2 linked regions of the Diceros bicornis minor genome follow. Each later gene encodes a partner of the first gene's protein in a complex. Links are inferred from orthologs where the notes say so. Each region holds a gene or a part of one and is shown on either strand. Other genes may lie near its edges. The genes, in order: NPR1 and NPPA.

What was found.
Region 2: the proteins of NPR1 (region 1) and NPPA are in contact, whole or in part, in a crystal structure (PDB 7BRG), measured with the Rattus norvegicus proteins. The link is inferred for Diceros bicornis minor from reciprocal best matches to the Homo sapiens genes NPR1 and NPPA. Residues at the interface, in NP_036745.1 of Rattus norvegicus: Asp90, Val115, Tyr116, Ala119, Pro120, Arg123, Ala139, Leu140, Gly141, Ile142, Val144, Tyr148, Tyr182, Asp184, Leu186, Gly187, Asp188, Asp189, Arg190, Phe193, Phe194, Val196, Glu197, Tyr200, Met201, Arg204, His213, Gln214, Glu215, Phe216; in NP_036744.1 of Rattus norvegicus: Arg126, Ser127, Ser128, Cys129, Phe130, Gly131, Gly132, Arg133, Ile134, Asp135, Arg136, Ile137, Gly138, Ala139, Gln140, Ser141, Gly142, Leu143, Gly144, Cys145, Asn146, Ser147, Phe148, Arg149, Tyr150.

The regions. Positions count from the first base shown.
Region 1 is NC_080743.1:57,898,984-57,914,566, reverse strand, and holds the start of NPR1 (atrial natriuretic peptide receptor 1), read right to left. Parts: upstream 6,780-15,583; 5' UTR 6,470-6,779; coding exon 5,758-6,469; intron 5,014-5,757; coding exon 4,814-5,013; intron 4,384-4,813; coding exon 4,270-4,383; intron 3,854-4,269; coding exon 3,718-3,853; intron 3,357-3,717; coding exon 3,265-3,356; intron 2,504-3,264; coding exon 2,368-2,503; intron 2,140-2,367; coding exon 2,055-2,139; intron 1,233-2,054; coding exon 1,112-1,232; intron 739-1,111; coding exon 664-738; intron 508-663; coding exon 430-507; intron 1-429. Other genes in the region: ILF2 (interleukin enhancer-binding factor 2), read left to right, coding at 12,238-12,242, 12,940-12,999, 13,213-13,255, 13,736-13,840, 14,497-14,574, 14,919-15,021, 15,504-15,569. UniProt on the Homo sapiens protein: Receptor for the atrial natriuretic peptide NPPA/ANP and the brain natriuretic peptide NPPB/BNP which are potent vasoactive hormones playing a key role in cardiovascular homeostasis.
Region 2 is NC_080752.1:30,958,866-30,973,372, forward strand, and holds NPPA (natriuretic peptides A), read right to left. Parts: upstream 9,328-14,507; 5' UTR 9,325-9,327; coding exon 9,202-9,324; intron 9,101-9,201; coding exon 8,774-9,100; intron 8,244-8,773; coding exon 8,232-8,243; downstream 1-8,231. Other genes in the region: CLCN6 (H(+)/Cl(-) exchange transporter 6), read left to right, coding at 2,547-2,627.

The sequences.
Region 1 (15,583 bases):
CATCAGGAGCCTGACAGAGCCCTCACTCCTCACCAAGTTGCCCCCCTCCTCAGGGACCCTCCCCCACTCTTCTTAACTCCCTATTCATTCTCTATAGACATTCCAGGACATTCCCTGGTGATTCCCACCCATGTCCTTAGCGCACCTTCCCCCAGAATCTGCTCCCTACTCCCTCTGTCTCCTAAGCTCTCCACCACCAGGGGCATCAAGTATGGCCCCTCGAGAACTTCCTCCAGGATCTCCGCTAGTCCCTTCCCCCATCTATGATCCCCTGCTCCTACCCACAATACGCAAGGACCCATCCCATGGCTACCATCCCCGCTCTTTCCTAGGATACCCTGAGGTCCCCCCATAACCAGTTCTGTTGGCCAACCTCCCCTTGTCCCCCTGCCACCCTTCCCCAGGCCACTGCCTCCTCCCCGACATTACATGCTTCAGTTCAAATAGGACTTTTCGTGTCAGCTCAATACGTTTACGGTTCACGCGTTTCACAGCCACAAGGTTGCCCTGGGCAAGGAATGGAGACTGTGAGGAGATGGCCTGGTGCTCTGGGAACTCCAACTGCTCCTGACAGCCCACCCCCGCCCCTGTGACCCTCCCCATCCTCGTCAGAGCAGAGCCCGGCCCCAGTGCCGAGGACCAGCCGTCTTTTCCCAGGCCCACCTTATAATACGCTGTCTTGGCAAAGACTTGGAACTGGCCTTCTGTGGTTAGCAGGGAGCCATAATTGGAGCCTCTCTGAAGGGATGGAGAGCAGGAGAGATGGTCAGCCTGTGGGCCCCACCATGGGCCTAGGTCTCCATCCTGGTTGCTTGAGCTCTGGTCTTCACTTCCCTGCCTTATCTTTGTGTCACTCTGCTTCTCATTCTATCATGAAATCCTGTCCTCATTTACCTTTTTTTTTTTTAATGCATTTTCACATATAGTATTTTTGACCTTTGGAAGAGCCCTGTGAGGAGGCTCAGCGGATGTAATCATTATCTGAGGGAGTCTCAGAGGTCTACCAAGGTCACACAGCCAGTGAAGGTGGCTCTCTCCCCTACCCATCAGGTACTGGTCCCCACCCCCATGCCCAGCTCTCCCCCATTCCCCTCAACACCAGTGTTCTTACCCCACTCAAGGTCAGCCGGCTGCCTGCACTCCGGAGGTGCCTCTCAAGGCTACTGGGCTGCACATCTTCCCAGCGCACCCGCCACAGCTCTGAGGCCAGTTCCTTTTCCAGCTGCATCTTCCTGGGGCATGAAACCTGCATCTGAGCCCATGTCTGAGCCCCCGACTCAGAGCAGGGGTGCTCTGCTCCATAGCCCCTTCTCAGAACACTGGGACCACTGCTTATGCTAAGAGGTAGATGGGGAATTGCGTCCTCTGGGCTGAGAGTCAGGAGGCTTGGATCAAATTTTGCCTCACTGGGGACCTTGGGGTAGTCAGTTCATTTCTCTGAGTCTCATGTCCTAAAGTCCAAATGTCCTCATTTGGAAATCGGGGACCTTGATATTTATTTCAAAGCATTGTTGTGAGAATGAAAAGAAATATCGTGTGTGAAGTGCACATAGTTTTTCTCCCTCCCTTCTTGCCTCCCTCTATTGTAACTTCTCCTGCACTTTCCTTTCAGCCTCCCACTGGAGGGGGGCTCCTTTATCTCTCTCCTCCGTTCCTGGTTCCACCTGGTACACTCAGGGCTCACCATCCCTGCTCCACTAATATGTGCCCAATCCCAAAGGGTTTGAATCACTGCTTCCCATCCGGTCTGCACCGGTAGGAGGGAGGGTAAAGGGCCCGCAGGCCAGAATCCGCGCCCCTGTGATGTCACTCCCCCAACTGCTTGGCTCCTTCTGGGATCCCCCACACCCTCTCTGTCCACTCCTGTCCTTGTTCCCTCCTCCTTCTCTCTTCCTTGTGTCCTAAGGCTTTTTAGTCTCTTTTCTCCCCCATCTCCCTCAGCCTTCTGCTGCACCTTCACCCCTTTCTCCTTCCCTCTGGGTCCCTGCCACCTCCTCTGCTATTGGTTCTCCTGGTCTGCCAACCTCACTCACCATCCTCATCCCAAGGCTCACCTGTATATGAAAAAGGAGACGATCAGAATGCTGAGCAGGGAGAGGCTGCCCACCAAAGCCAGCACCTCCAGGGTGGAAAAGTGGTCTGCAGGAGAGAGTCCAAGTTGTAGCAAGAGAGATTTTGGTTAGACAGCAGGAGGAAGAACCTTCTAATAGTCAATCAGTGAACTAGGATGATGGACGAAGGGAAGAGAAAGGCAGGAGGAGTCCCTCCAGAAAACTCTTGTGTGGGAGAGGAGCACCTGTCTGACTCCCTGAGGTGGGAGGATGTAGCATCTCCAGAATGGAGGCCTGGATGGCAAGGGGCAGTCACCTTGGTTGCAGGCTGGGTCCTCATTGTCAAAGCCGCATTTGGGGATGTCAGGAGGTGGGTACCCGAGGGGCCAGTTCAGTTTGCGCCCTGACACGGCCACCAGCTCTTGGGAAGTCCCATTGTAGTTCAGAACAACCTATGGAAGGGCAGGAGTGGTGGGCAGGCAAGGCATGGGGTGAGGCCCACTGCCTGTCCAGTGGGGCAGTCCTGCCTCCCACCTACCCCATCTCTTCTTCCAGGGCCTATATCTGGGCTGTCAGCTATTTACAAGCCCCTCTGTGAGTGGGTACAGAGAGCCCTCATACCCATGCCCACATTATCAGAGTGGAAAGACTTGGAAACTACTCAGGGGTTTTATAAAGAAAACTCCATATAGAACCCCAGCCCTACACACAGGGAGTTTGTAATCTTGGGTTGAAGTACATAGAAAACAGGAAAAGGCAGTCTCCTCAGTCCACATTCCCAGGCCTAATCCATGTACCCCTCCTCCAAGAAGCCTTCCCTGGATGATCTGCTCCTTGGCGCCTGTGGCCTCAATCCCTTCCTGTTCCTGATGTACTTATAGAGCTGTATGATGTGTATTCATCTTGGCCCTGAGTTGGCCTGTCTCTGCTGGGCAGGGGTCCTGCCTACTTAGAAGATGTGGGACTTGCTGAGGGCAGGGCTGTGCTCCCTCCTCAGACATGGGGTTCCCCAAGGGTAATGCCTGTGAGTCCTTGTAATTCTGGTTGCTCCCCCAGACTGGAGCTGGGTCTCTTTTATCTAGGGCTTTCTGAAAGTGACCAAGCATGGTAAGGTGACTACAGAGTAGACAGATGCCCTGGCAGGGCTGTTGGGGAGGTAGGAGGGCAAGATGTCATTCCCAGTTGGCACTGTCTTCTGGGGGCGCGACCTTACCCTGAAGGCGCCAGTCTCAGGATCCATATCCCAGAGGGAGAAGTCGGTCTCTCGATCTCCATTGCTGTCCATTTTCAGGTATCCCATCACACCTGGGGGCATGGAGGAAGACAACTGTGTTTTGAGAGAGTGAAAGTTCAGGGACCCCCCACCACCACCTCATCTCCCTCCTGGATCTTCTCTGCCTTGCCCTCCAAACATATGCATGTGGAATAATAGTAAAGGGACAGACATTTCAGCAACAGCAATGATTGGGGTTAGGCACTTAGGAGGACTCCTTGATAGAACTATGGAGAAAGACGGGGAAGGAGGACCTAAGGGAAAATGTAGGGGTTCCTTACAGAAGAGAGGAAGAGCCTGGCAACTACCCGTGCTGCAGGGCTAGAAGCTTCTCATGGCCTCCTGCTTGGGGCACCCCAAGGCAGCCCATTCCTTCCACCTCCAGGACCTGACCTTGGAAGCTTCTGTTCCACATCCTCTGAGTGATGCCTTCCCCATCGGTGACAGTTCCCCCGTGAGCCAGAGTCTCTGTCACTGCCTGGACATAGAGGAGGAGCCCATCGTGGAAGGACGCTGGGATGGTGTTCACCTGCAGGGGCAAGCAGAGCTTGGCCGGGGGCTGGTATGAAGGGCACAGAGTGGGGTGCTGTGGGGGAGGAAATGGGAGGCACTGGGAGCTTGGAGAGGATGGGAGAAAACACCCCACAGGACAGAGAGATTTTACTACTTATACGATGCCTCCGCATATACCACTGCTTCTGAATCCTGCTAGGCAGCTAGGGCAGGACATATCATCCTCACTTTACTGAAGAGGATGTGAGTTTCAGAGGTTGAACAATTTGTCAGTGTCCCCCTCCATCATCAGGGGAGATATAGGAACAGTGGGACAGGAAAGGTGAGACCTGGGAATACTGGGCTGGCTGAGAGAACGGGGTGGAAACTGGTAGAGGGCCATGGGGTGGGGGCTAAAGGTCCACACTGGAGGGTCCCAGGACTCCCTCCTACCAGACCATCCTCCAGGGTGAAGTTGAACTGCTCGTGGACCAAGTGTTTTAGCTTCTGCAGGAATTCCAAGTACTCAGGATTATCTGGCTCTTTATATGTAATGATTTTGGCAGCCTGAGGAAGGGGTCAGTGGAGAAGGGAGAGCTGGGGGCTGACCCCAGTCCTCCCAGTACCCTGGGGCCCACCTCCCAGAGCTGCATCTCTGCTTAGCTCAAGGTCAAACTGGACCCTATGTCCTGTGTGAGGTGCTGCCTGCACCAAAGCAGGGGATCAATGGGATGGCTTCTCCAAGTCCCGTTAGTCTGCGGGACTTGAACACCCTCCCACCTCAAGCCCATTCTCTCATCTTTTTAGCCTCCTGGCTCTGAAGTCCTCTGGCCCTCTGGGCCCTGGCCCCAGACCCTGCCCTGCATTATCTAACTTTCTGTGAGCATCAAGAACCTCTTTTCTGGAATCCTTTCAGACACTGAGGGACCCAGTGCCCAGAAAGTATGTGCCACCAGCTCAGAGTCCCACAGCCTAGGTTTCCAACCTGGACACTCACCTGAAAGGCCTGGTAGGCACTGACATCCTGCCCATCCCCTCTCTCCCAGGGCCTGCGCAGAGCAAGGCCATGTGCACCTTGCAGGCTTTGCCCAAAGAGGTCCAGGTGGAAGAAAACGTAGTCCTCCCCACTCAGGCCAGCTTCCAGGGCCAGGAGCATCAGGGTTCTGAAGGCATCTGGGGAACTGCAGATGTAGATCACTGGGGAGGAAGCGGGGGTCAGAGAGAGAGAAGCCTAGGTCCTGGGGGAGTGAGAAGGGGGCACTCCTTGGGTAGGGCAGCTGGGGCGCCCAGGGTGGGGGGGTGGGGGTGGGGCAGTTCAGAGACCCTGTGGTAGTTACCTGGAACTCAGGCTCAGTCTAGGCTGTGGCTGGAGAAATACGAAGAGTGGGAGGAGGAGGGGGAAGGAGCAGAGATAGGGAGAGTGGGAATAGTGGAGCTGAAGGTGGGCAAGGTGGGGTCAGGAGGGGAGGAGAGGGAAGGAGGGGCCAGCTGAAGAGGGGACTGGAAGAGTAGAGGGCGTGTGGGAGCAATGGGAGGAGAAGATAGAGGAGAGGAGAAGGCTGTTGGGAAGCGACAGAAAATGGGGGAGAAAAATAGGGATGGGAACTAAGCCAGGGACCTAGTAAGTGTCGGGATGGCAGCAAGCATTTTCTCCCTCCTGTTAACTCCGGAGGAACCGGTGGGAAGGAGGTGAGGGAGTGGGGCAGGTGAGAAGAGAGGAGCGCGTAGGAAGGAGAAGGGACGGAGGATGGAGAAGGAGAAGGAAATGGAAACTCCGAGGCAGAAAGGGCGGAGGAGGCTGAGACCGGAATGAGGTGCCTCGAGGCGAAAGAAGACTGGCCGGGAGAAGAAAGAGAAGACAGAGGACGGTCCGGAGCCTCTGATGGGTTACAGAGAAGGCCCCGGGGCAGAGCGGCGGGAGCCCGGGTGCCGGCCTCTTACCTCGGCCTTTGCGCCGCACGGTCCGCAGCAGCATGGTGTAGTGGTCGTGGTCGCCCTCGGCGAACTCCAGGTGGTCCACCGTGATGTTGAGGCGGTCGCGGACCCGCATGTACAGTCCCTCCACTACGAAGAAGCAGGGCTGGTCATCGCCCGGCCGGTAGGCGTAGAGCACGAGCGCCTGGCGCTCCCAGCCCAGCCGTCGGTGCAGCGCCGCCACGAAGTCGCCCAGTTTGGCGTGGCTGGGCCCCGCGCGGGTGGTCAGCGCGTACTCGTCCTTGGCCCCGAAGCCCAGCGCCGGGGCGCCGGCAGTCAGCAGCGGCACCCGCCAGTGCGCGGTGAAGCGCCCCACTGGGGCAGCGGCGTACACGCAGCCGGGGCCCAGGAACACCGCGGGGTTGTGCTCCCACTTGAGGTCCACCGCGGCCAGGGGCGCGGCGGTGTCGGAGCAGACGCCCAGTGCGTTCTCGCTGCTGCCCAGCACCGTGCGGACTGTCCAGCCGGGCAGCAAGTCGGGCCGCGCCTTCACCCCGGCCAGCGCCAGCTCCACCGCTGGTCCCACGCGCGCCCACGACCACGGGTACGAGGTGTTGGCCAGCGGCAGCACCACGGCCACCGTCAGGTTGCCCGCGTGGCTGCCTGGGAGCAGCAGCAGCGGTGGCAGGAGCAGGAACAGCCTCAGGCGGGCGCCGGCGGGGCGCCCGGGGCGCTGCATGGCCTCAGCGGGCACCGCGGCGGGCGAGGGCTCCCACCATGGCCTCCTCGGTCCCCTCCGGCTCAGCGGCCCGTCCCGGGCATCGGGCGCGCCCCTGTGGGAGGGAGGAGGAGCGGGGCGGGGGCGCTCACCCCGGTGCACGCTGCCCTTCTAGCTGCGAAGGTCAGGGCCAGGAGCGCAAGGGGCGCGCGGCGGGCGGGCGTACCCGAGGCTGGACACGCGACGGAGGGGTGCACGGAGGGCACTGCGGAGCAGGTGGGCGCGAGAAGGAGAACGCCGGAGCCGAGAGGACCCTAGCGTGAGCGACAGCGTGTGTGTGTGTGTGTGTGTGTGTGTGTGTGTGTGCGCGTGCGTGTGTCAGAAGTGGAGAGAAAAAGAGAGCGCGAGCGAGCGCTTCGGGGAGAAGGATGGGAGAGGGCTCGATGGAGGGAAAGGGGAGTGTGAGTGTTTGTGTGCGTGCGTGAGCGCCTGCCCCAGGGAGTGTGCCAGAAGGGGCGTCCGGCCGGCCCAAGTCTCCAGCTGTCCGGGGGGGACTGGAGAGGACCTGAGCCAAGCTCCGAACCCTCCCTCCCGCCCGCTTCCCCTCCCAGACTCAGTGACAGAGGAGCCAATCCTGGATCTTTAACTCATTCCTCCCCGCACCTAAATTGCGGGCATTCCCGCGCCCCCCAGCCCGCGCGCTTTCCCCATAAACCGTCTTCCCGCTTCTCGGCGGCCCAGCGTCTTCCTCCCTGGAGAAGCGGCACCCGTAGGAGGGGCTCCCTCGCGGGGATGGGAAGAAGGGCTGGATAGCGATGTGTGTGGGAGCATCCAGGGGCTTCTTGCGCCCCACCTTGTCTCTCCCCTCCTACCTGGTTCCGTCTGGGGAACAGAAAAAGATGTGCTGGTTTGGGATCCTGGCAGGAAAAAGTGTGAGTGTGTGGATGTGTGTGTCTGGGGGTGGGGCGGGAGGGTAATGGTTTCTGAAAAAGGCGTTAAAGTAGGTGAGCCCGGAGTCCCCGTGACCCAGTCCACCTAGGACCCACTCCCTCCCCACTCCAGCTTCCAGATTGAGCGGATTAGCGGAGAAAAAGGACCAGGTGTAAGGGCGGAATTAACTCTTTAGTTCCAAATGCTTGTAGGAAGTGGGAGGGAGAGCGTGTAGGTGGCTGTAGGGGGGAAGAGGAGTGACCTCAGGGCCACTCCTGGATTGTGATTGTGTGTTTGTTTTGTGTTGAGGAGGATTGTTAAAATGCGGTTTGTGGTGGTGGTGGGAGATGGTGTTGGAAACGACCAGCGGAGGCGTAAATTGGGGAGAGGGTTTTGGAGCACTTGACGGCTGGTCCGCTGGGCCGGACCCCTGTGGAATCAGTCTGCCCTCTAATGGTCAGAGGGAATCATTGACAGTGTTGTGCGGCCAACTCCAACCTGCGCGTAGCGGAACGAAGATCAGTCAACTTCTGTTCAACAAACAGTCAGTATAATTCCTGCATCTCTCCATGTACAATCAGCTGGAAGTATCCATTATCTCCTTGAGATGAGTCCAGTTCACCACAGTTCCTATCCACCCTGTTCACTCACTTGCATTACTGGCTACAGTAGTTTATGTTTTCAACTCCCATCTAGGATGTCAGGTGTGTGCACGTAGGAATGATTGAGGAGGAGAGGCAAGGAAGTGCAGCAGAGGGCAGATCATGCAAGCTTTTGTGTGACAGGCATAATGTCTTTGTCCTGTAAGGGGGGCTCCAGAGGCTATAGATGTATATAGGAGATTGGGAGACTAAAAAACAGTTTTATTGAGGTATAATTGATATACCATAAACTGTACATATTTAATGTCTACAATTTGATGAATTTGGATATATGCTTATACCCATGAAACCATCACCACAATATCAAGGTAATAAATATATCCATCACCCCCAGAAGTTTCCTTGTGTCCTTTTGTGTATATGTTGTGTGTGTGCTAAGAACACTTAACATGGGATCTACCCTCAACAAATTTTTTAATGCATAGTACAGTATTGTTGACTATAGGGAGATGTTTTGGAAGTAAAATCATTTGGACTTCAGGAAGAGAGACAGTATACAAGTAACTGAAGTCTAGGTGACATTGACCCATTGGTTGAGAAGCTGAAGAAGCAAATTTTGGGGGGATGATAATTTTAGTTTAGATGGTTTGAGGCACCTGTAGATACCCAAGTGGAGGTGTCCAATAGGCCATTGGATTAGTGGAGTTGGAGCTCAGGAGAAACTAGACTAGAAATCGAATTTAGTAGTTGAGCTCCTCTTTCAACAATGGTGGACTAAATAATTTGTCCAATCCTCAAGCTGAAGACATCTAAAAATGTTGGATGAAATACTTTAAAAAATCAAAGAACTAATAAGACTGAGAAATTATTGGTGTGAGAGCATGAAAGGACAGGAAAGCAGAGAGATGAGACAGCAGTAGGACTGCTTTTACCCTGGGGTCATTTGCTGATCCGAATTGGTGGCAGAAAATAGGCTGTGTGGTGCAAATGAGACAAAAATTGGAATCCAAACTTCCCCAAAGATGAGAACCTGGTTTGGGCCGGCCCCGTGGCTTAGCGGTTGGGCGCGCGTGCTCCGCTACTGGTGGTCCGGGTATGGTCTGGGCGCGCACCGAAGCACTGCTTCTCGGGCCATGCTGAGGCCACATTCCACATACAGCAACTAGAAGGATGTGCAACTATGACATACAACTAACTACTGGGGCTTTGGGGAAGAAAAAAAGGAGGAAGATTGGCAATAGATGTTAGCTCAGAGCTGGTCTTCCTCAGCAAAAAGAGGAGGATTAGCATGGATGTAAGCTCAGGGCTGATCTCCCTCACCAAAAAAAAAAAAAAAAAGATGAAAACCTGGTAAACTGCCTTCCTGTTTTTCATTAGAATCCTGAAAGGCTGCACTCCTAGAAACCTAGGAGTAGGGTAAATCAGAAGTAAATAGAACATGAGGACCCAAAACATTCAAAACCAAAATTAAGAACCAATCGATGGGTTTAACAGCAAGTTAGACTTGACTTAGGAGCAAGTAATGAATTGGAAGAAAGGACAGAAGACACTACCCAGAATGAAACATGAATAAAAAGGAGTGAAAAACATAAAAGAGAGGGTTAGGGTCATGGAGGATACTGTGAGAAAGTCTGACACACATTTATTTAGAGCCCAGGAAGGAGGAAAATAAAAGACTAGAAGCAATATTTGAAGAGACAATAACTGAGAAACTTTAAAAATAGATGAAATACATCAAGCCACAGATTCAGGAAGTTCAACAAACCAAGTAAGATTTTAAAAAAAATCCATATCTGGACCCATCAGAGTGAAATCACAGGAAATTAAATCAAAGATGAAATCTTTAAAATAGTAAAAAGAGGATTGATTACCTTCAAAGGAGCAACCATTAGATTGCTAGAGAACTTTTTTTTTCAGAGCAAAAATGGAAGCCATAGAAAGTGAAATAATATTGTAAACGTGCTGAAAGAGAATAACTTCCAATCTAGAATTCCATATCTGGAGAAAATGTCCTTCAAAAACAAAGGTGAAATAAAGAGGTATTCAGACAAACTGAAATGGAGAAAGTTAGCCACCAGCAGAGGGGCACGAATTCTCAAGCAGAAGGAATATTATTCCAGATGAATGGTTGGACGTGCAGGAAGAAATAAAGAACATTAAAAATTGTGAATGTAGGGGGCCCGCCCCGTGGGGTAGTGGTTAAGTGTGCGCACTCTGCTGCTGGCGGCTGGGTTTGGATCCCTGGTGCGCAGGGATGCACGCTTGTCGAGCCATGCTGTGGAGGCGTCCCATATAAAGTAGAGGAAGAAGGGCCGGATGTTAGCTCAGGGCTGGTCTTCCTCAGCAAAAAGAGCAGGATTGGCATGGATGTTAGCTCAGGGCTGATCTTCCTCACACACACACACACACACACACACACACAGATTGTAAATCTAAATGACCACTAATTTAGGTAATAAGCATTAATGTCTTGTGAGATTGAAAGTATTTACAGAATTTAAATTCTGTACACGTATACAGCTACGCCTACCCAAGAGAAATGAGTGCATCTCACCACAAGAATCTTGTACAAAACTGTTCCTAGCAGGTTTATTCATAATGGCACCAAACTGGAAACAACCCAAATGTTTTCTGTGTGTCTCAGCCAGTTGGAGGTCCTGAGTTCATCAACAGGAGAATGGATAAACAAACTGTGGTATATTTATGCAATAGAATGCTACTCATAAATAAAAAGGAACAAATTGCTGATGAATGCAAGAACATGTGAGAATCTTGAAACGTGTCAAGCAAAAGAAGCTAGATAAAAAAGAGTACATACAGTGTGAGTCCATTTGTGTGACATTCAAGAACAGACAAAACTAATCTATGATAATGGAAACTAGAATAGTGATTGCCTTGGGGGCAGGGCAAAGGGGTATGAGCTAAGTTTCTGAGGTGATAAAAATGTTCTTTATCTTAATCTGGGTGGTGGTTACACGGACAGAATACATTACTCAAAATTTATGGAGCTGTAGACTTAAAATCTGTGCATTTTGCTGTAGTAAATTATACATCAATAAAACACTTAAAAGAATTACACAACAGCAATAGTATATAATTCTGGAGGGAGTGACGGTGGTAAATGGAATTAAATTATTTCTGCATTTTCACCAGGAGGGTAAAAATGTTACCAAAAATTAGATTTTGCTAAGTCAAGGACGCATGTTGTAATTTTTAGAGTAACCTCTAGAAGAGTAGAAAAAGTGCGTAACTTCCAATTAACAGAGGCAGGGAAGGAATAATAAATATTAACCAATGCAAAAGAAGGCTAGAAGGAGAAGAAGGATTACAGAAGAAACGAAAAGCACATAGTAATATGATTGATTTAAATGCAAATACAGTATATCCGTATACGTGGCTGGTGAAACCTCATATAAGGGTAAAATACGCCAGAGAGTTTGTGGAGTGAGGAAAGAAGAGAAATTGGGGGGAAATCAGGCAATAATGGGTGGGCCGCGTCCTTCTTTCCTTGCCACTTCTTTTGCTCTCGTTTTCTGAGCTCTCTTTCTAAAGGCTGCCTCGGTTTCCCTTCTAGTCCGTCGCCATCAGTGTTTTCCCCCTCTGATTCCATCAATATACTTCCTCCTTTTCTCAAATCCGCTTCTCCTGCCTCGAGTTTCTAGCCTTCTGTGAACTACACCCAGACGTAGTGTTTATTGTTGTTTAAAGTCTCTTCCTATTCCCCTATTTCACATGCTGATGGCAAAAACAGCTTCTAAACGCTGCATTTTTGACGCAGGAAAAAGTAAAAGGAGGGCAGTTACCTTTACTGAGAAAATTTAAGTTGAGAAGAAAAAGCACACGCCTGTAGCAGAGGATGGTTTCGATCCATCGACCTCTGGGTTATGGGCCCAGCACGCTTCCGCTGCGCCACTCTGCTAGCTGGAGAGAAGGTGCCTCATGGTTTCTATAGAAAGTTTTTAGCGCGTTAGCCGTCCTGCCTTCTTTACACAGCGCCGTCTAGTGTCTGGTTGAATAAAAATGCTCATTTTTGTTAAGTCTGTTCTTATTGGCTAGATCCTGACACAGTCAGCATTTTGTATTGGTTCATAAGCCAGTTTGCCATTGTAGACCAATAGGCATAAGCGGCGGGGTAAGGCGGGAGCCAATCGCGCCGGAGTTTGTTGGGACACGCCGGCAAGCCGCCTCTCCATTTATCTCTTCCTCCGAGGAAAGGGGCGGTTGGTGTGGCCTCCATTGTTCGGGTTTTAGGGCGCCATGAGGTAAAGGCACTGGGGTGCTGTAGAATGGTGTCGGGTATTCGACCGAAAACTTTGGGAAGGTGGGCCGAAAGGAGTCGGAGGAGCTGAAAGGGCCACGTGTCTGGGGGCTGCCCTAACACCGAAAAGGCCTCGTCTGGGAGAGTAGGGGAGGTCGGAGGCTGCGGGGGCGGGGAAACTTGGGCCCGGGCTGGGGGTGGGGCGCAGGAGCGGGCAGGCGGTCGGCCCCTCGGTTTTGGAGGGGTCTGGATGAGGGGTGTCCTCGGGTCCCAGGAGAAGCACCCCCATCTAGGCTGGGAAGTCTGGAACGTGCCTCATTCATTCTATGCCAAGTGCTTGACATAGGAAATGCCCGCTAAATGTTTTACTACGTTAATAATAAATGAGCACTCACTTTAGTGCCTCAGGTATTAGGATTGGCGTCTTCCAGGGGTCATGGGGTATTTCTTGTAGGGGTTCAGTGTTTGAGCCCGTCATTATGTTTGGGTGGAGTTGTGACTAAATTATCCAGAATGAGGAGGTCCTGGGGGTGAGGCTGAGCATTTGGAATGGGGAGAAGCGTAGGTGGGAATGGGGTCTCTTGGCTTCCAAAGGGAAGTTCGGAGCGGTGGAGGCAGGCTAACTTGAAGTGATTTGACCGGTATGGTGGAGATGCCTTCAACAGGTCAAAACAGGTTAAAATCTATTTATGCATTTCTAGGGGTGACAGAGGCCGAGGTCGTGGTGGTCGCTTTGGTTCCAGAGGCGGCCCAGGAGGAGGGTGAGTGTCAGTTTTTAGCATCTCTGCACTGCTTAATTTACACTTCAGTCATCTAAATAGGAGTTTGGAGTGGACTGATGCTACCTGCTTTTGTGAGATCCAGCTGTGGTTTAGAAACGTTTCTTTTCATCCTCTCCTGCTAAATGAGTTTGGCCCCATTAGGCTAAGTCACTTGATTTCTGTGGTGAATAATTTGGATTTTTCTTGTTTTAGGTTCAGGCCCTTTGTGCCACATATCCCATTTGATTTCTATTTGGTGAGTATCTTGGCCCCTGTTCACCTATAGACATAGAAATGGAGCCTGGACACTGTTTCACTTGTAGTTTCCTGGAGCCCAGCATCTCCCTGTCAATGAAGTCTTGAATAGTGGCTGGAGTAGGAAAAGGGATTAGTGAGTGGAGCTGGGGTTTTGAGTCAGCTGTGTGTTGCTTTAAGTACAAACACAGTGTAAGGAGGGTGGGGAAGATAATTCCTTGGCTACTGTTGGCAGTAAGGTGATTGTAATCTTTGTTCTGAATAATTAATTGTATCTCTGGCTTATCTGTTAATATAAAGGTAGTGAGAGCTTAAATTATGGCTGTTCCTTGTAGCTTACATCCTTGTTTGAACATCTTGAGTAGACAGGTGTTGTAGAATTTTCTATTTTCAGTTTTTTCTGTTGCGGCAACCGAAAAAAACAATCTTCCCTGTATATTATTTTTGGTAAATAGTATATAATTATTTACTTCTGATTTAGTGTGAAATGGCCTTCCCCCGGGTCAAGCCAGCGCCTGATGAAACTTCCTTCAGCGAAGCCTTGCTGAAGAGGAATCAGGACCTTGCTCCTAATTCTGCTGAACAGGTATATTCTTTTGGCTTCCTTCCTGAGATTTCACTAAGAATGCTAGGGAAGGGGCCAGCATGGTGGTGTAGTGGTTAGGTTTGTGTGCTCCACTTCAGTGGCCCAGGGTTTGCAGGTTTGGATCCCCGGCCCTGACCTATGCACCACTTATCAAGCCATGCTATGGCAGGCGTCCTACATATAAAGTAGAGGAGGATGGATGCTGATCTTAGCCCAGGGCTGATCTTCCTCAGCAAAAAGAGGAGGAGTGGCAACAGATGTTAGCTCAGGGCTAATCATCTTCCTCACCAAAAAAAAAGAAAGAAAGCTAGAGAAGTGAATAACTGCTGGTGAGGTTAAGGTTACTGTTATCAGAGCCTAAACTCCACGGTGGGTTGAATTGTTCTTATTTCTCATTGTGAGTGGAGGGAGACTGCCAGATGAATATATAAACAGGTTACATATGCATTCATATTTTTATTGAGGAATCTATCTTTGGGATCAAAAACTTGTTCTTTTATGACATATTCAAGGCCAGAAGGGTCAGAGTGTTTTCAAAGCCCTATATCAGTATTGATTCCACTTGTATGGAAGGGATTAGGGGAAAATATTCAAATTCTGAGAAGTTGCTCGTAATTTTTCAACTTAGGTTATTTTTGTTTCCTGCTGTTTTTCAGGCTTCTATCCTTTCTTTGGTGACAAAAATAAACAATGTGATTGATAATTTGATTGTGGCTCCAGGGACATTTGAAGTGGTGAGTTTTTGATGATTTATTTAGTCCTAGGAAAGGGCAGCCTTGCTAGTGTGGAAGTTTCCTTGGCTCCTGTCTCTTAATTCTTTGGTTGCCTATTATCCAAAGCCAAGCCGAAAATGGGAAACTACACTGGAATTCCTTTATAGTACTGATTATGGGGACAAGACTTATATCGTTGTTATCAGCTAGCCGTGATGTATCAGGCTTTTCGTTTGGTTGTTTGGGGGATATCACTTGACCTCTGCTACTTCAAATCTGGGTCACAGGAAGCTATGTTGTAATTGAGTTCTGAGAGGCAGTCTTTTCACTTCTAATTTTTTTTCCTGAAATCCCTTTTCCAATAGCAAATTGAAGAAGTCCGACAGGTCGGATCATATAAAAAAGGAACAATGACTACAGGACACAATGTAGCCGACCTAGTGGTAATCCTAAAGATTCTGCCAACATGTGAGTGTACCTCTTTCTGCCCACGGGAGAACATAGCAATTGGGTAGGGATGTTTAAAGCCCAAATTTCTTCTCTTTTGCACCCCAGGGGACATTTGGCAGTGTCTGGAGACATTTTTGGGCTACTGGCATCAAGTGGGTAGAGGCCAGGGATGCTGCTAAGCATCCTCCAGTGCACAGGACAGATCCTATCCCCCAGCCCCCCAAAAGAATTATCCAGCCCCCAATGGCATTAGTGCCACTGGTTAGAAGCCCTACTGTGGAAAAGGGGGTGGGTATAGGAGGAGGTGTCCTGTCCTGTTTCCTGAGCCAATTTTTCTGTCCAGGCATTAGCGTCCACTTGTAAAAGTGTTGATTCTGTTGCTTGCCCTTGTTCCAGCCTTGAACATGGGGCAGATATCAGAGTGTAAAGTAGCTTAGAGATGTATAGAACATCTACGTAAATAATTACAATGTTCATTATCTCCTTTTCTCTCAATCTAGTGGAAGCTGTTGCTGCCCTAGGGAACAAAGTTGTGGAAAGCCTAAGAGCACAGGATCCTTCTGAAGGTTTGAGTGTGTTG
Region 2 (14,507 bases), on another chromosome or scaffold:
GGAGGAGACATCAGAATCCCGCAGGGAGGTTTCTCAGACTAAAACCTGCTCTGCTGTTCTCCCACCAGCAGTGAGGGGAGAGAGTGGATGGATGGGGACTGGTGTAGCCCCCGAACCTTTGCCCTAGTGTCTCCTTTGATCCTTATATGCTGTTTCCTGCGTGGCCAGCAGATGGCGCCAGTGTCTCAGTGGCTTCCTTTCTGCAGGCCAGGAAAGCTTAGGGCAGACTTCTAAAAGGTTTCCCTTCGCCTTTGAGGGGAGGAGCCTGTTATGTGTTCCTCTGTCCCTCCTGTTATGGGAATTTGTAACATTAAATGAGAGAATTTCAAGGAAAATACTTGGAGAGTTTTAAAAGATACAACACCTAGTAATTATTGCTAGACTTTTCCATTTTTTCTTTTTCTTAGAACTTCATTTTTTCTTACTACATGAATATTATTATTTGATTGTAGAAAAATAAGAAAATACAGATAAGCAAAAACAAACAGAAAGAAAAAACAAACCCTTATCTCCACAGAGGTAGTAGCCATGTTAACTTTTCAAGGTGTATCCTTTCAGTCTTTTTTCTTCGGATCTAGAAATGGAGGTTTTATATATCAAGTTTTAATGAAAATGTTATCACTATTTATATTGTTCAACAGCTTAATTTCTCACTTAATCTATAGGCAATGACTTTCCATGGCAGAAAACATTCACTTATAATATTTTAAGGGCTCTATAGCATTCTGTTGTGTGGCTGTCCAGTCAGTTATTCAGCAGTCCTCTACTGTGGAATTTTGAGTTCAATTTCCCTGTAGCGGGCACCCTTGTATGTCGCCAGACTGCCCTCCAGGAAGCGACAGCTCTCTGCAGTAAGTGACCCGCAGCAGGACGCTGGCACAGCACAGCTCGTTCCCACCTGACTTTAGCTGCAGTGGACCAGACTGTGTCCCTTGAAACACAGCTGCGCTGACAGTCCTCACAGTTTGCAGTGTGGGGTACCCACGTCGGTGACCAAGGTGAGCCACTGCAGTGACTGTGAAAAATGACCTTGCAGGAGAAACTCGTTTCTCCGTTCTCGCACACTCCACCGTCCTTCGTCACCAGATGGGGGGCGTTTTCCCCACACCAAGCAGTTCTCTGATTCTCTGGACACCAGCCAGGTGTCTTACAATTCAACTCAATTCTGACACGATCCTCCTGGAGGCAGCGCCAGATCCCACAGGTTAAGGGCTCAATCCCACAAGACTGCCCCCCTTCCCCCCTTCAGATGCCAAATTCCAAGTCCAGGTTGTCACTTGTGCTTCCGACCAGCTGGCTGCACCCTATACCTCAGAGGTTCCCACAACCTCCTGCTCACAGAACTCAGGAAGGCAGTTTACTTAGTAGATTACTGGTTTGTGATAAAAGGATGTCACTCAGGAATGGCCAGATGGAGGAGACGCAGAGGGCAAGGTGTGGGGAAAGGGCGCAAAGCTTGCATACCCTCTCTGGGTGTACCGCCCTCCTAGCACCTCTGCACGGTCACCAGCCTGGAAGCTCTCTGAACCCTGTAGTTCGGGGATTTAGTGGAGGCTTCATTGCATAGGCGTGATTGATTACGTCTTTGGCGTTGATGATGGATTCAGCCTCCGGCCCCTCCCCCCACAGGTATCAGGTGGGGCTGATAGTTCCAGCCCTCTGGTCCCATGGTTCTCCAGGCTCCATCCTTAGGGGCTTTCTAAAAGTTACATCAGTAACATAAATTCAGGTGTGGTTGAAAGGGGCTTGTTATAAATAACGAAAGACAACTTTATTATTCTTATCACTTAGGGTTTTAAGAGCTTGTGCCAAGGACTAGGACAAGGACGAAGTATATATTTCTTACTATAGACCACACTATCACACTGACCCAGGTAGTTGGTATTTATGAGCCATAGCAAGGTCACAGCTTCTGAGAAACCTGCACTGGGCTGTGCCTCTCGCTCACATACATGAAGCAGGCTGGGTGTGGTGGCAACTGACAAAGCTAGAGAGCGTGTTCCCTGTTTAAAAAGACGTGCAGGGGCTGGCCCCGGTGGCATAGTGGTTAAGTGGGTAAGTTTGCATGCTCCGCTTCGGTGGCCCAGGGTTTGCAGGTTCGGATCCCAGGCGTGGACCTACGCACCACTTATCGAGCCATGCTGTGGCAGGCGTCCCACATGTAAAAGTAGAGGAAGATGGGCACGAATGTTAGCCCAGGGCCAGTCTTCCTCAGCAAAAAGCTCAGGGCTAATCTTCCTCACCAAAAAAACATAAGACATGCAAATTCAGATTTTAGCTGGCCCAACTAAAGCCTTTTTTGGAGCTAAATTTGTCCCATTGGCCTCCAGTTTATGAGCTCTGGTTATCTGTTTGTCTTGTTCCCACCTAGAAATTAGGCCTTTGAAATGAGTCTCCTGATCATGTTGTCATGTCAGTTCCGGCATTGTGCAGGCCTGGTGCTGTCTTCTTCTGCTCTCCGTGCCGGCTAGCGAGCTCTGCTCCCTCGGGCTCTTGCCCCTGGGTTTACTCTGCAGGTGACATGGGTCTTTCTCTCCTCGCCCTAGATCGTGGGGATCATCACACGACACAACCTGACCGACGAGTTTCTGCAGGCCCGGCTGCGGCAGCACTACCAGACCATGTGATGGCTCGGCCTCGCTGCCCCTCCATGGGCCGGCCCTCTCTCCCAGAGCTGCCTGGGGAGGCAGCTCGCTCATGGTCCGCCGTCACAGCTGCCTGGGGCTGTCCAGGGGCGTGGAAGATTCCCGGTTACCCACTCGCTCGGAAAGCCTACAATCATCACACACTTTGCTGGTCAGAGATCCCAAGGATGGTTCTGAACCATCAGAACTTGGACTGGTCTGACTTTCCCAGCAAGTATCTTCCTGGTTCCTGTTCCCTGCATTCCTGCCATCAGTTTGGGCACAGACCTCAGTCCCTTCCACCCTGCTAGCGCCAGGACCAGAGGGGGAAGGCAGGCCTCGCCCACTGGGGGGACACCCAGAGCAGGTTTCCTGCCCCCTCTTTGCTGCTTTCCTAGGGAGCCCAGCTGTTGCCTTAAACCATTATGGGAGGGACTTTGGCAAGGCAAACACTGTGGGGAGACCAGTTGCAAAAATAAGTGAATCACTAAATTTAGGAATTGGGCACTGAGGAAATGGTCCATGTTTCAGGGAGGCCTTCCATCGTTGGGTCTTAACTCGTCATCTTCAACAGTTCATTTTCGAGAATGTTCTGCTTCCTGGGTGTGAGCTAGCGCTCTGCTCTTGCCCCTGGGGTTTGAATCTCCTTAGAATCACCACCCTCCAGAAGCACAAAGCATTAAAATTCCACTAATAATCTGTGAACGATAAGTCTGACAGTAGGGTCAGATTTGCATCTGCTTTCACTTTTAACATTCAGCTTTCTCTCCGTTTCCCAAATTATTCATGGTCTCCTAGTGACACATTTGTACCGTGATCCATCCCTGGTCCTTTTCATCTCTATGAATGACTAAACTTTCCTTAAGTTCTTACCTCGTCTTCCTGGTGAAGCTGCCACAGCCCAGAGGGTCTCAGTGTCCATCCCCGCCCCCTGCCCAAGTTAACTGCAAACAGGGCACCGCCAGATAACACTGCTTCGCTTAGCTCTGGGGAACGGTGCAGCTATTGATAAGGTAGAAAGGAGTGAGTCCTGAGCGGTGACCACTCACAGGTACGTAATGTGGCCTGAGAAGCAGTGTCACAGTAAAGCAGAGGGTTATTCAAGGAAGAGGCGTCTGGCCTTCACAAAGGTCTCTCAGTCACCTGCTGCCAGCCGTCCCCAGCCTGCTGAGGGCTCAGAAATGGAAACTTCAGCAGGGTCTGCTCTGCTGCCAGGGGCTGGGGTGGGGAGGGGCGCCTGCCAGCACCTGCCCTGAGGTTTCAGCATTAAACCTAGGAGGCCTCCCTCTGTCTTTCAGTGACTTAGTTTCTCCCAGGCTGGTTGGTCCTCTCTGAACAGCACCCAGCGAACATTCGGGCGTCAGGCACGGGCCCTGACTTTCCCTTTACTTCTGTGCTCTCTGCTTTATCAGCACCTTAGGCCCGTCGGCCAGCCCTGGGGCAGATGTGCTTTGGGACTCAAGATGGCCTTCATTTGCGTTTAGTGGGTTTTTTAATCATGGAAGTCGCCTGAGGGTGTCTCTGCCTGGCCCTGGCAGCCCTCTTCTTCCCCCCTCAGCCCCCACTGACTTCGCTTGCCAAGACTGCCTTTCAGCCTGGGGGGGCGGTCAGTCCCGGCTTCGCCAGCTTCCGTCTTGTGCTCAGCACTCTGTTCCTCTTAAGTGAGGGCTGCGTCAGCATCTTTCCCAACTGACTGTGGCCCCTCCATTCTTCCCATTGTCTTCTCTTTTTGACCAAAAGTACTTTGACTTCTAAATGTTTCAGCTTCCCTGGATGCGCTTGACTTGTGAAATGTGGATGAAACTCCCAATAAATAGTTCAGGAAATCACGAGGACCAACAAGGCAAGCCTTCCTGAATGTGATTGCCTTCAGCCAGCTGCCGCTTTATTTTAAGGCAGCATTCAGAGCTTGGCTACACAAATTCTTCCTTTTTCTAAGAAGGAAACCAATTGCCCAAGTCAGGACAATGGAGTGACTGCCGGTCACAGAAGTTGAATCCCCTCTCCCCACCCTCACTGAAATTGGCAGAACTCAAGTTCTGCAGGAGGACCTCTGGCCTCCAGGGCCCTCGAGGCCTCCCGGGTGAATGTCATTGGAATTCACCCCTCGTGCTTGTTGAGTTTAAGTCAACAGATATTTTGTTCCCATCGGTGTAGCTCAGAGACAGATGGTAGAATGCAAATGCTTCCCTCCACCTGACCTGACTGGATGGCCACCAAGGATGACCCAAACCCAGGCCCCCTGGAAAGGCGCGTTGTTTCCTGTCCTCTGTTGGCATCTGCCGTTTCTGGAGAAGCCCGAGGACAGCCACTGCTCCCGTTGTAACAGAATAACCGTAAGCCTCGCTCCTCTGATTTCTGATAGGTAGAAACCCAAATGTTCACCATCTTGCCTATTACCGGCCCCATCACCTCCCAGTGATACGGCACCTCAATAAACAAAAACCCACGGAGGGGGTCGGGGTGGGCTAGAGGCGGCTCTCTGTGTTTCGTCTCCAGCTGGGTGGTTTGTGTTCCCCAGCAAGGGTGACCAGAGGTGGGGCGAGAGTCCCTCCAGACTGCAGGGCCTTTGCGCCCCGGGGGGTGGTGTGCTCCTGACCTTGTTTAGCTAACGGTTTTGCTGGAATGGACTCTTGCTTGCTTGAACCCAGCTGACCATACAACATTTCTGATGCAAAATTGCGCACTGACGCGGCCCTCGGAGACGAGAGCCCCGGGGAGGTGGGAAGCGCTCTCATGGGCCTGCAGTATTGATGTGCAGTGTTGCCCCACAGCTCCGTGGACCTCAGTCGTTTCAACAGTAGCAGCTTCCTTTTTTCCCTTTGCACTGTTTGTTTATACAGTAATGTTAGCTAATTCCACTGTGTATATAAATTGTATTTTTTTTAATTTGTAAAATTCTATTTTTATTTGAACTTTTGGAACTTGGAAGTTCTCATTGTAACCATAACATGTCAGAATAAAATGTCCTCATCTGTCTTCTTGAGTCTCTTGTCTCCACGGTGCTCTTTCTTTAGAGTGGTGCTTGGTGTTTATTTTGTTCCCTCTGTTTCTAATATGTAAAAATTGCAAATCCAGAAAGTGGTTTTATAGTCTCAGATCTCTCCTTTTACAGCTCTCCCAGCAGGACTTCTCCTTCACAGGGGCCCACTTACTACCTTTGTAATGAGAATCAGTGTAGTGCTGTGGATCTGAGCAAAAGGCACAAGGTTACCACTCTTGTCTTTCTCCCTTGAGATTAACAGTTAGATCTTTACTGATCCTTTGCTCCTATAAAAACCTACCTGGTCCTTCCAGCTGCTGCTTCCCATCTGCAGCACTAGAGGGAGAATCCATTTGTATGCCTGGCAGTGTGTTGTTTAGGAATTTGCCCCATCAGCAGAGTCCCCTCATATCCAACTGGAAGAAGTGAAACCGGTGCTGAGTCTGTGGACGTTCAGACGGGGGGCTGGCTTCCATCGGTGGGGTTCAGGCCCCTCCCCCTGACCCCAAGTCGTCCCCAAGTTCCAGGGGCATTTTCTGTGTATTTGGCACTCTCAGTTGATGCCATTCAGTGAGGACCCACTCTGTGACGGTGACACAGCTGACCGCTCTTCCCCTTCTAGCAACGGCCACTCGCCCAGTGCCGGGCCTCAGGAGCCAGGTTGGGACAGGCACTTCTTCTTGTCCCTCCACCCATGTCCTGGTTAGCCCCTCTCTGGTTCTTGATTTTCCACCCTTCTGTGTTCCGCATCCACATAGGAACACGTTCACTGGCGTGGTTAGATTAGAGTCTTTGCCCACGTCTGCTCCCCAACCATCAAGTCACTTCTGGCCTCCACTTCCCTCTGCAAGGAGCAAACTGCTATGTTACTACCACTTTTTCCAAGTTTTGTACGAGACCAAGACAATTTGACTGACAATATATAGAGCATCAACTGTGCCACGTGCTGAAGGGGCATTTTCCCTCAAGGAGCTTGCAATCTAGGGACACAAACACAACTGCATACCAAGGCAAATTGTGTCTTAATAGTAACATACAGAATGCTGCTGGTAAAGAGCTTAATATGCACTGGGCACGAGGTATCAGGGAAGGCTTCAGGGAAGAAGTGGCATTCTCAATGAACCTTGAGGAATAAGAATGTTCTGGGTAGCACTGGCTAAAGGACATTCTAGGTGGAAGGAACAACATAAAGACATGGAAAAGTGAGCTGGTGGGTGGGGGGCTGGTGGAGGAGCACCACAGAGGCTGATGGGGAGAGTGAGGTGTGTGGGGTGGGAAGACAGGTCAGAGTACTGCTCCCTGTTGTGGGTGAACTCAGTGCCCGGTGTTTTCTGCTTAGGGCAGCACCCTTCTCAGAAGATGGTAGAAAGAGACCGAGTCTCCTCCAGTGGCTCTCACAGCAGTAAAATCTACAAGTCAGGAAGCTTGGACCTGAATTAGAAAAAGCTGATGGCTCTTTTTTAAACATATGTTAGTGCCCCAAAGGCACATAAACTTGCAGTCTGTCAGCATAGCAAACATTTCTGTCTTCACTTTGCTCAGCTTTAATGCTCTGCCTCATCTTCTTAAAAGTAAAGTGCAGGTCGCTCTGTTGCAGCAGCTAACTCTCTCAAAATGTGTCAGAAAATTTTTAGTGTCCTCATTTTAAAAGTTGCTTCTAAAAATAAAAATAAAAACTGTAGCCAAAAGTACTAGCTGTGCAAAAATTGTCTATTGAGTACAAGCTACATTAGATATAACCAGAAAAAAAAAAAGATGTCTGTAAGTTTTCTTTTTAATAAATAAGTGCCTTGAATGTGAGCAAATCTGAATAAAAATAAGTGCCCTTTTGGTCTCCTGGGGCTTTTTCAGGATCTGTGATGAAGCTGGAGCGAGAGTCAGAGCAGGCAGAGAACTGCAGTGTGAGCCCCACCCCATCCCACCCCCGCAAAAAAAGGAGGAAAGAATGAGAGGAGGAAGAATCTGTCCAAGCCCACAGAATGTACAGCACCAAGAGTGAACCCCTATGTGAGGTATGGACTTTGGGTGATGACGATGTGTCAATGCAGGTTCATAGACTGTAACAAATGTGCCATCTAGTGGGGATGTTGATAGTGGGGGAGGTTGGGCATGTGTTGGGGGCAGGGAGTATATGAGAAATCTATGTACTTTCTGCTTAATTTTGCTATGAACCTAAAGCTTCTCCAAAAAATAAATTTTATTGTTTTTAAGAAGGAGGAAGAAAGAAACTGAACATTCTTCTCTGGGACAAAAGGTAAAATGAAAATCATGCTGAATTCTCTTTCCCGGGAAGCGAAACAAATCACTCCAACCCGAGCCTTCGGCTTCTGTCCGTGGTGCTGAAGTTTATTCATTTCTCAAATGGCTTCCAGTTAACGGGTGAGGGTCTGCCCTAAAATTTAATGCATAGGGTGGGAGAAGTGGGGAAGCCACAATTAAGCCACTTTACCTACATTTAGCATAAAATGTGAGAAATGTGGACAGAAGGCTGCAGCTTGAATAGGGTGCTCGTCACAACTCAGCTTGAGGGCAATGAGATGAGACAAAGTTGAGTGAGAGACCCCGGGGGATGAGGGTCTCTCGCAGTCTGCCCGGGGCCTGGCCCGCCTTGTCCTCCCTGGCCGTTATCTTCGGTACTACAAAGAGAACACAGACATGTTTGACTTGGTGACCTGGCTCTACTGGAAACATCAACTTCGTAGGACTGTGGTCACTTCCCATAGACCCCACTCCAGCCTGAAAACTCCCTGAGTTTCATGAACTGGTACACAAGTTGCTCATTAGGAGCTCAAAGGTCATCCCTGGTCAATTTCAATCCTTTGGGATCTGACAAATTTGGAATCTGGAGAGGAACATGAACTGCCAATCAGCAGTGCGAAGGCAACTTGCCCCATGAACATTTAAAGTGCCCAGTGCTCGTGGCATAACTTTTTTTCTTAGCATTTCCTCAGCAGCCTGTAGCTGAGGATGATGTCATTGTCCCAAGATTCATGGGGCACCCACCAAGTTGGCGCAGAAATTTCAAAGGGAGTAAGCTTCTATGCTGGTCCCTTCCGGCAGAAGGCGTCCCCTGGTGGTATACTTTGACAAGGTTTGAGCCTCAACAAAACCACAACTTCCTAACTTCCTTCCTCCCCATCCCATTTCCATCCCCGGCTCCTCTTACCCGGAAGCTGTTGCAGCCCAGTCCACTCTGGGCTCCAATCCTGTCCATCCTGCCCCCGAAGCAGCTGGACCTCCGCAGGCTCCGAGGGGCAGCGAGCAGTGCCCTCAGCTTGCTTTTCAGGAGGGCAGATCTATCAGAGGAGTCCCAGGGGCCCCGCCCGAGGGCACCCCCATCTCTCTGGGCTGGGTTGACCTCCCCGGTCCAGGGAGGCACCTCAGCAAGGGGGCTGAGAGCAGCCCCACCTTCCTCACTCTGCTCACTTAGTACTTGTGGGGGCATGACCTCATCTTCTAAGGGCATCTTGTCCTCCAAACGGTCCAGCAAATTCTTTACAAAAGGAAAACACAGGGAAAGGGAGAGGTCTCACCCACGGGCACAATGTCACAGAGCCCCCTGGTCCCAGAGTGTGCCCTCTTTCCCAGCCCTACCTTGAAATCCATCAGGTCTGCGTTGGACACAGAGCCATACACGGGGTTAGCTCTGGTTTGCCCCGGGAGCTGAAATGCCAGGAAGAGAAGGAAGCTTGTGGTGATGGTGGGGAAGGAGCCCATGCTGGTCACAGAGTGGTCTGGTGCTCGCCGCCTCTTCCCTCTCCTCCCTGGTTTCCCTCTCTCGGCCTTCGTCCGTCTCTGTCTCCCAGCTGCCCTGCGCCTCCTCTTTTTATAGGCCCCCGGCTCTCCGAGAACGCAAGAGGGATGGAACCCTCCCCATTCTGTCACTTGCAGCGATAAAGCAGCTGAGTGAGGAGCCAGCAGAAGATGCCCTTTTAAAGTTATCAGTCCAGCGGAGCTTGTCACAGCCCCTCCGCCTTGAGCAGCCCCAACAACCCCCGGGACCCTCGGCTGCAAGAGCCACATTCTTGTTGATTTGCCTCAAGAGGTTCCCACTTCAAAGGTGTGAGAAGAGCAAAAAAGAGTCCTTGGTTATCTCACAGCGATGCCTCGGGCTCCTTTCTCCTCGGCAACGGGACTCATGCCGGGAAGCAGAGGGTGACAGTTGGCGGGCACCCAGCTCCCCCGGTTGGTTTGTGGCTCAGCTGTCAGGGCCTCCAAATAAGGGCGGGAGAAGAGGAAATGGCAGGCAGCCGGCAGCTCGGGACAAATTAGTCCAGATGCTCTAGCCGGCCTCACACCTGACTCATCAGCGGCGAGGGCAGCCCTCTCGCTCCACCAGGGCTGGCCTTCTGGCAGTCACTCTCCGCAGTCAGGTGAAGAGGGCGTTATGTTTTAGAGTACTAAGTCAGCCGGGAACCAAATGTGATGAATGACCCAGGAATTTGGCTCCCAAATTTCAACACCAAGGAAAGTTTTGGGAACACAATCATTCCTCTGCAAAGCTCCTCCTCCTTCGACCCCTCCACGACCCCCCTCCAAGGTGCTGAGGGAGGTAGACACTGAGAGGATGCAGCATTTTCGTTTCTTCAACTTGCTGCTTATAGAAACTCAGACTCTTTGAGTATGAAGCTTGTAATTCCCCTGCCCTTTCCTGGAAAGCTCCCATGGCCAGTTGGCTGATGGAGTGAGGTGGGAGGCGAATGTAACACAGTTTCCCTTAACGCCTCCATTTTCCTGGCCCCCAAAAGAGAAATAACAGGCAGTGAGGCCACATTTAATGAGTGGCCTCCATTCGCTAAGCACATACTCAACCCTAGCATGCTACTCAACAGAGCGTATGCTGGGGGAAAACACTAAATTTGAAGGGATGAGAGACCTGCATTGTAGCCCAAAACAAACCAAGCTGCATATGTCTTTGGGCCTTATTTTCCTCATCTGTAAAATGAGGAAAGTGAAAAAACCTAAGGTTATCCTGAGGCTCAGAAGTAATGTGTGGATGCATTTTGAAGTGTGAAGTGCTGTGTAACTGCGAGATGGTAATCGCGCTTGCCTGTATTGGTCAGCTGTGACGTGCCAGACACTGAGCTGAGAGCTTCATGTGGTTACTTCATTTTTGTCACCACCCCCAGGAGCTGGTGGTCTTGTTGCCATTTACAGAGGGACAGGACTGAGACTGAGAGCTTTGTCACTTACCCAAGGTCACTCAGCTCATAAGCGGCAGAACCAGGACTTGCACCCAGGTATGACACCAATACACACAGTCCTCACCCATTTCACAGACACTGCTGCTGCGTAGCGCGATGGTCTCTTAACAAGCCCTCTGGCAGTCCCTGATTGAACACACCCCCATTCCCAGTCTCTCAGGGTGACTCTGAGCAGCTCCTTCTCCTGCCCCCTGCCTCGGGGCTGCAACTTCGTGTACTTGGCAGGTCTGTGTGCGTGTGGAACATCCATCTCCGCCCCTGCCAGACCCCTCCCTAGCTGAGCTGACTCCCTGGCTGATCAGGTGGAAAGGCTGTTATACGGCAAGAGGGCAGGAAACCAGGGCAGAACGTGGCCAGAGGTCACAAGAGGTGTCCAGGGCAATTTTATTCTAAGAAGGAGAAAGAAGCCCTCTTCAGTCACTGATTTGGGTCAGCCAAACTCAACTTGAAATCCAAGGTGGGTGCAATTCTGGGTAGCGCTCCCGGGGCAAAAAACCATCGTATCCTGACGAATCCCTGGAATGTGCTCACAGCTTAATTGCTCGGTTGGCAGGGTTATTATTAGCAAAGAGGATTCAGTGAGCAGCCACGCTGCGGGGAACCGATGCTCCTTGCTGCTTGCGTCACACAGCCTGTCTCCTGGAGATGCCCTTTGAGACTGGCCTTTGATGCAGGCGAAGACTTCCAGAAGGGTATCGTGGCGGGTGGCCCCTGCCTTGGCTTGGCCTCTGAGGGCCGATGCTGCTCCTCTGTCCTGAGCTACTTCTGAAGTCTGTAGGTGGCCTGAGGAGAAGCGGAAGTCCCGCCCCAGGTTCCAGAAAGGGACTTTCAGAATTTGCCCACCTCCTTTTATTAAAGTCACTTTTCCTCTTCTAGAGTGAAACCGGAGTGGGCCGTGAGTGTCATTTGTTGAGTTTCTTCTATTAGCTGGGGTTTTTTTCGTTTTCCGTTTTTTGTTTTGCAGAAGGGCGGTGACAAGAAAAAAGAACATTCAGGTTTGCTGCTGAGGACTTTGTGAAGAACCAGCACCACCTCCTGCACTAACTGGACCCAGTGAAAACACAGACAACCCCCAAATACACTTGTTACCCCAAATCCCAGTAAAGCCTTTGATTTGAGCCTGAAATGGAAAATGGCTTGATGTAAAGTTTCTCTTCATTTCCAAGCCCCTGCTCAACTTTGGGGTGTGTGTGTGGAGGAGTTAATATTTAAAGGGGTGTTTAGAAGCCAGCCTGTAGGAGTGAGAGAGAAGAAAAGCAAAAGACGCAGGAAGCCAGATCCGCCCCCACCCCCACCTCTCCCACCAGATGAAAAACCAAAAGCCTTTCTTTCCGTATCGCTGGGAAGAAGTCATCTTAGTCGTGTGATGGAATGAGCGTTGCAGATGGGTGGATGAATCCAGAACTGGGGTGTCTCCAGTTTCTAGCCCACTTTGGTTTCACAACCCTCCATGGGGATGCTGGGGGCTGCTTTGGGGAACCACAAGGTCCCAGCAATGTTGCACATGTGCAGAACTGGTGTGAAAAGCTCACCATGTTCATGGCACAATCTGTCACACCCAGATGGTCTAAAGCAGAAGCCCCAGTTGGGAGAAACTGGTAGGACACTGGTGTGTACTTAGGGACTGTTGTTTCTGACTTTGAAAATGATGTTGTGTTTCTTTGGTACAATATGGAGATCACTGGACTGGAAGTCAGGGGCTGGTTCCCTAGAAAAAAAGCCTGAGGAAAAGTCAAGTTGCTAAAGCTTTATGGGGGCTCCAGTTCAAGGGAAGCAAGAGTGATGGAAAAAGGAAGTGAGATAGTGTATTAGTTAACTATTGCTGCATAACAAGTTGCCCCAAACCTCAGCAACTTAAAACAACACACATCTATTATCTAGTAGTTTCTGTGACCAGGAATCTGGCCCTGCTTGGCCGGGTGCCCCTTGCTCAGGGCTCTCAGAGGCTGCCATTCAGGTGTTGTCTGGGGCTGCGGTCATCTCAAGGCTTAGCTGGGGGATCTGCTTTCAAGCTCACTCCTGTGTCCGTTGACAAGCCTTGGGTCCTCGCTGACTGTTGGCTGGAGATGTCAGTTCCTTTCCACAAGGGCCTCTCCATAGAGATGCAACTGACTTCCTTTAGGTAGAGAGAGAGAGAGAGATTATGTAAACCACAGTCTCTTTGGAGCCTCATCTTGGAAGTGGTATCCCCTCATTTTTGTTGTACTGTGTTCATTAGAAGTGAGTCACTGGATCCAGCCCACACCCAGAGGGTGGAGATTACCCAAGGGCATGAATACCAGGAGATGGGGATTATCAGGGGCCATCTGAGAGGCTGCCCACCACAGGTGGGGAAAGAGGAGAGCTGATACAAAGTGATACGTTACCAAGCCGGCCACAGCTTTGCAAAAACACCTTAGTGGTTGGTTGGTCACGCTGCACATCTCCAGAGAGCTTCCTGGAACCTGGCACCCTGGAACAGCCTGTGAGGAGAGAAAAAGATGAGGGAACTGCCTTAGATCTCTAGGGATGCTGTAACAAAGTACCACAAACTGGAGGGCTTAAAACAACAGAGATGTATCGTTTCACAGTTCTGGAGGCTGGAAGTCTGAAATCAAGGTGTCACAAGGCCATGCTCCCTCTGAAATCTGTGAGGGAGAATCCTCGCTTGCCTCCTCCAGCTTCCGGTAGCCGCCGGCGGTCCTTGGCATCCCCCGACTGGCAGAGGCATCACTCCAACCTCTGCCTCTGTCGTCACCTGGCTGTCTTTCCACTCTGTGTTTCTTTCTCCTCTTCTTATAAGGACACCAGTCATATTGGATTAGGGGCTAACTCTACTCCGGGATGACCTCATCTTAAATAATCACATCTATAATGACCCTGTTTCCAAATAAGGTCACATTCTGAGGCTCTGGATGTTTAGGACTTCAACACGTCTTTTAGGGGAACATAACTGAACTTGTAACAAGCGCTGCATCTGTAGGCTCCTTTTCACCGCTTGTCTCTCACTAGTCAAAGCGTCGCTTTCACCCTCACCCCACTCCTACCAGGGCCGTGAGCTCCCCTGCACTTCTGGGCTGTGCTACCCAGTTCCTTCAGGCAGTGGCCGAGGAAACTGGAGACTGCTGTCCAGTGCACCCATGAAACCCGTGCATTGGCTTCGCAATCTCTCCTGGCCAGTCGATCCTGCTTGGCGAGGGGAGGGGGAGAGTCAGGGGTGGGGGGTGGTATATGGAGGTGGAGACGGGGCCAGATAGCAGCCATGAGAACCAGGTCAGCCATTGTTAAGGCCGCATTTTCCAGGAAGCCAGAGGTGCAGGCCAAGCAGGTATGAGGCACCCCAGCATACCCCAGCACCTAGCACAGAGCTGGCACATACTGATTCTTTGGAAAATATTTTCCGAATGATTGAATCAATGAGTTTGCCGTCAGTGCCTCTCCCACCACCCCACCACTACACATACGTGAGTGTCCGCCCTGCACCTTGCCCTCCCTGGTGCAGAAAGAGCCAGACCAGGGAGCCCGGTGGGGAGAGGCCAGTTAGGAAGCCAGTGCGTCAATGTCGGCATGAGTGGTGAGGCTCGAAGCCAGGAATGGAAGTGAAGGATTGTGTGCAGCAGGTGCTGGGAAGGAAGGAGGAGTGGATACGGTGCCAGCCTGGGTGGTCCAGCCAGAGAACCGAGTCCAAGAAGATTCCAAGCACTCTAATCATCGAGG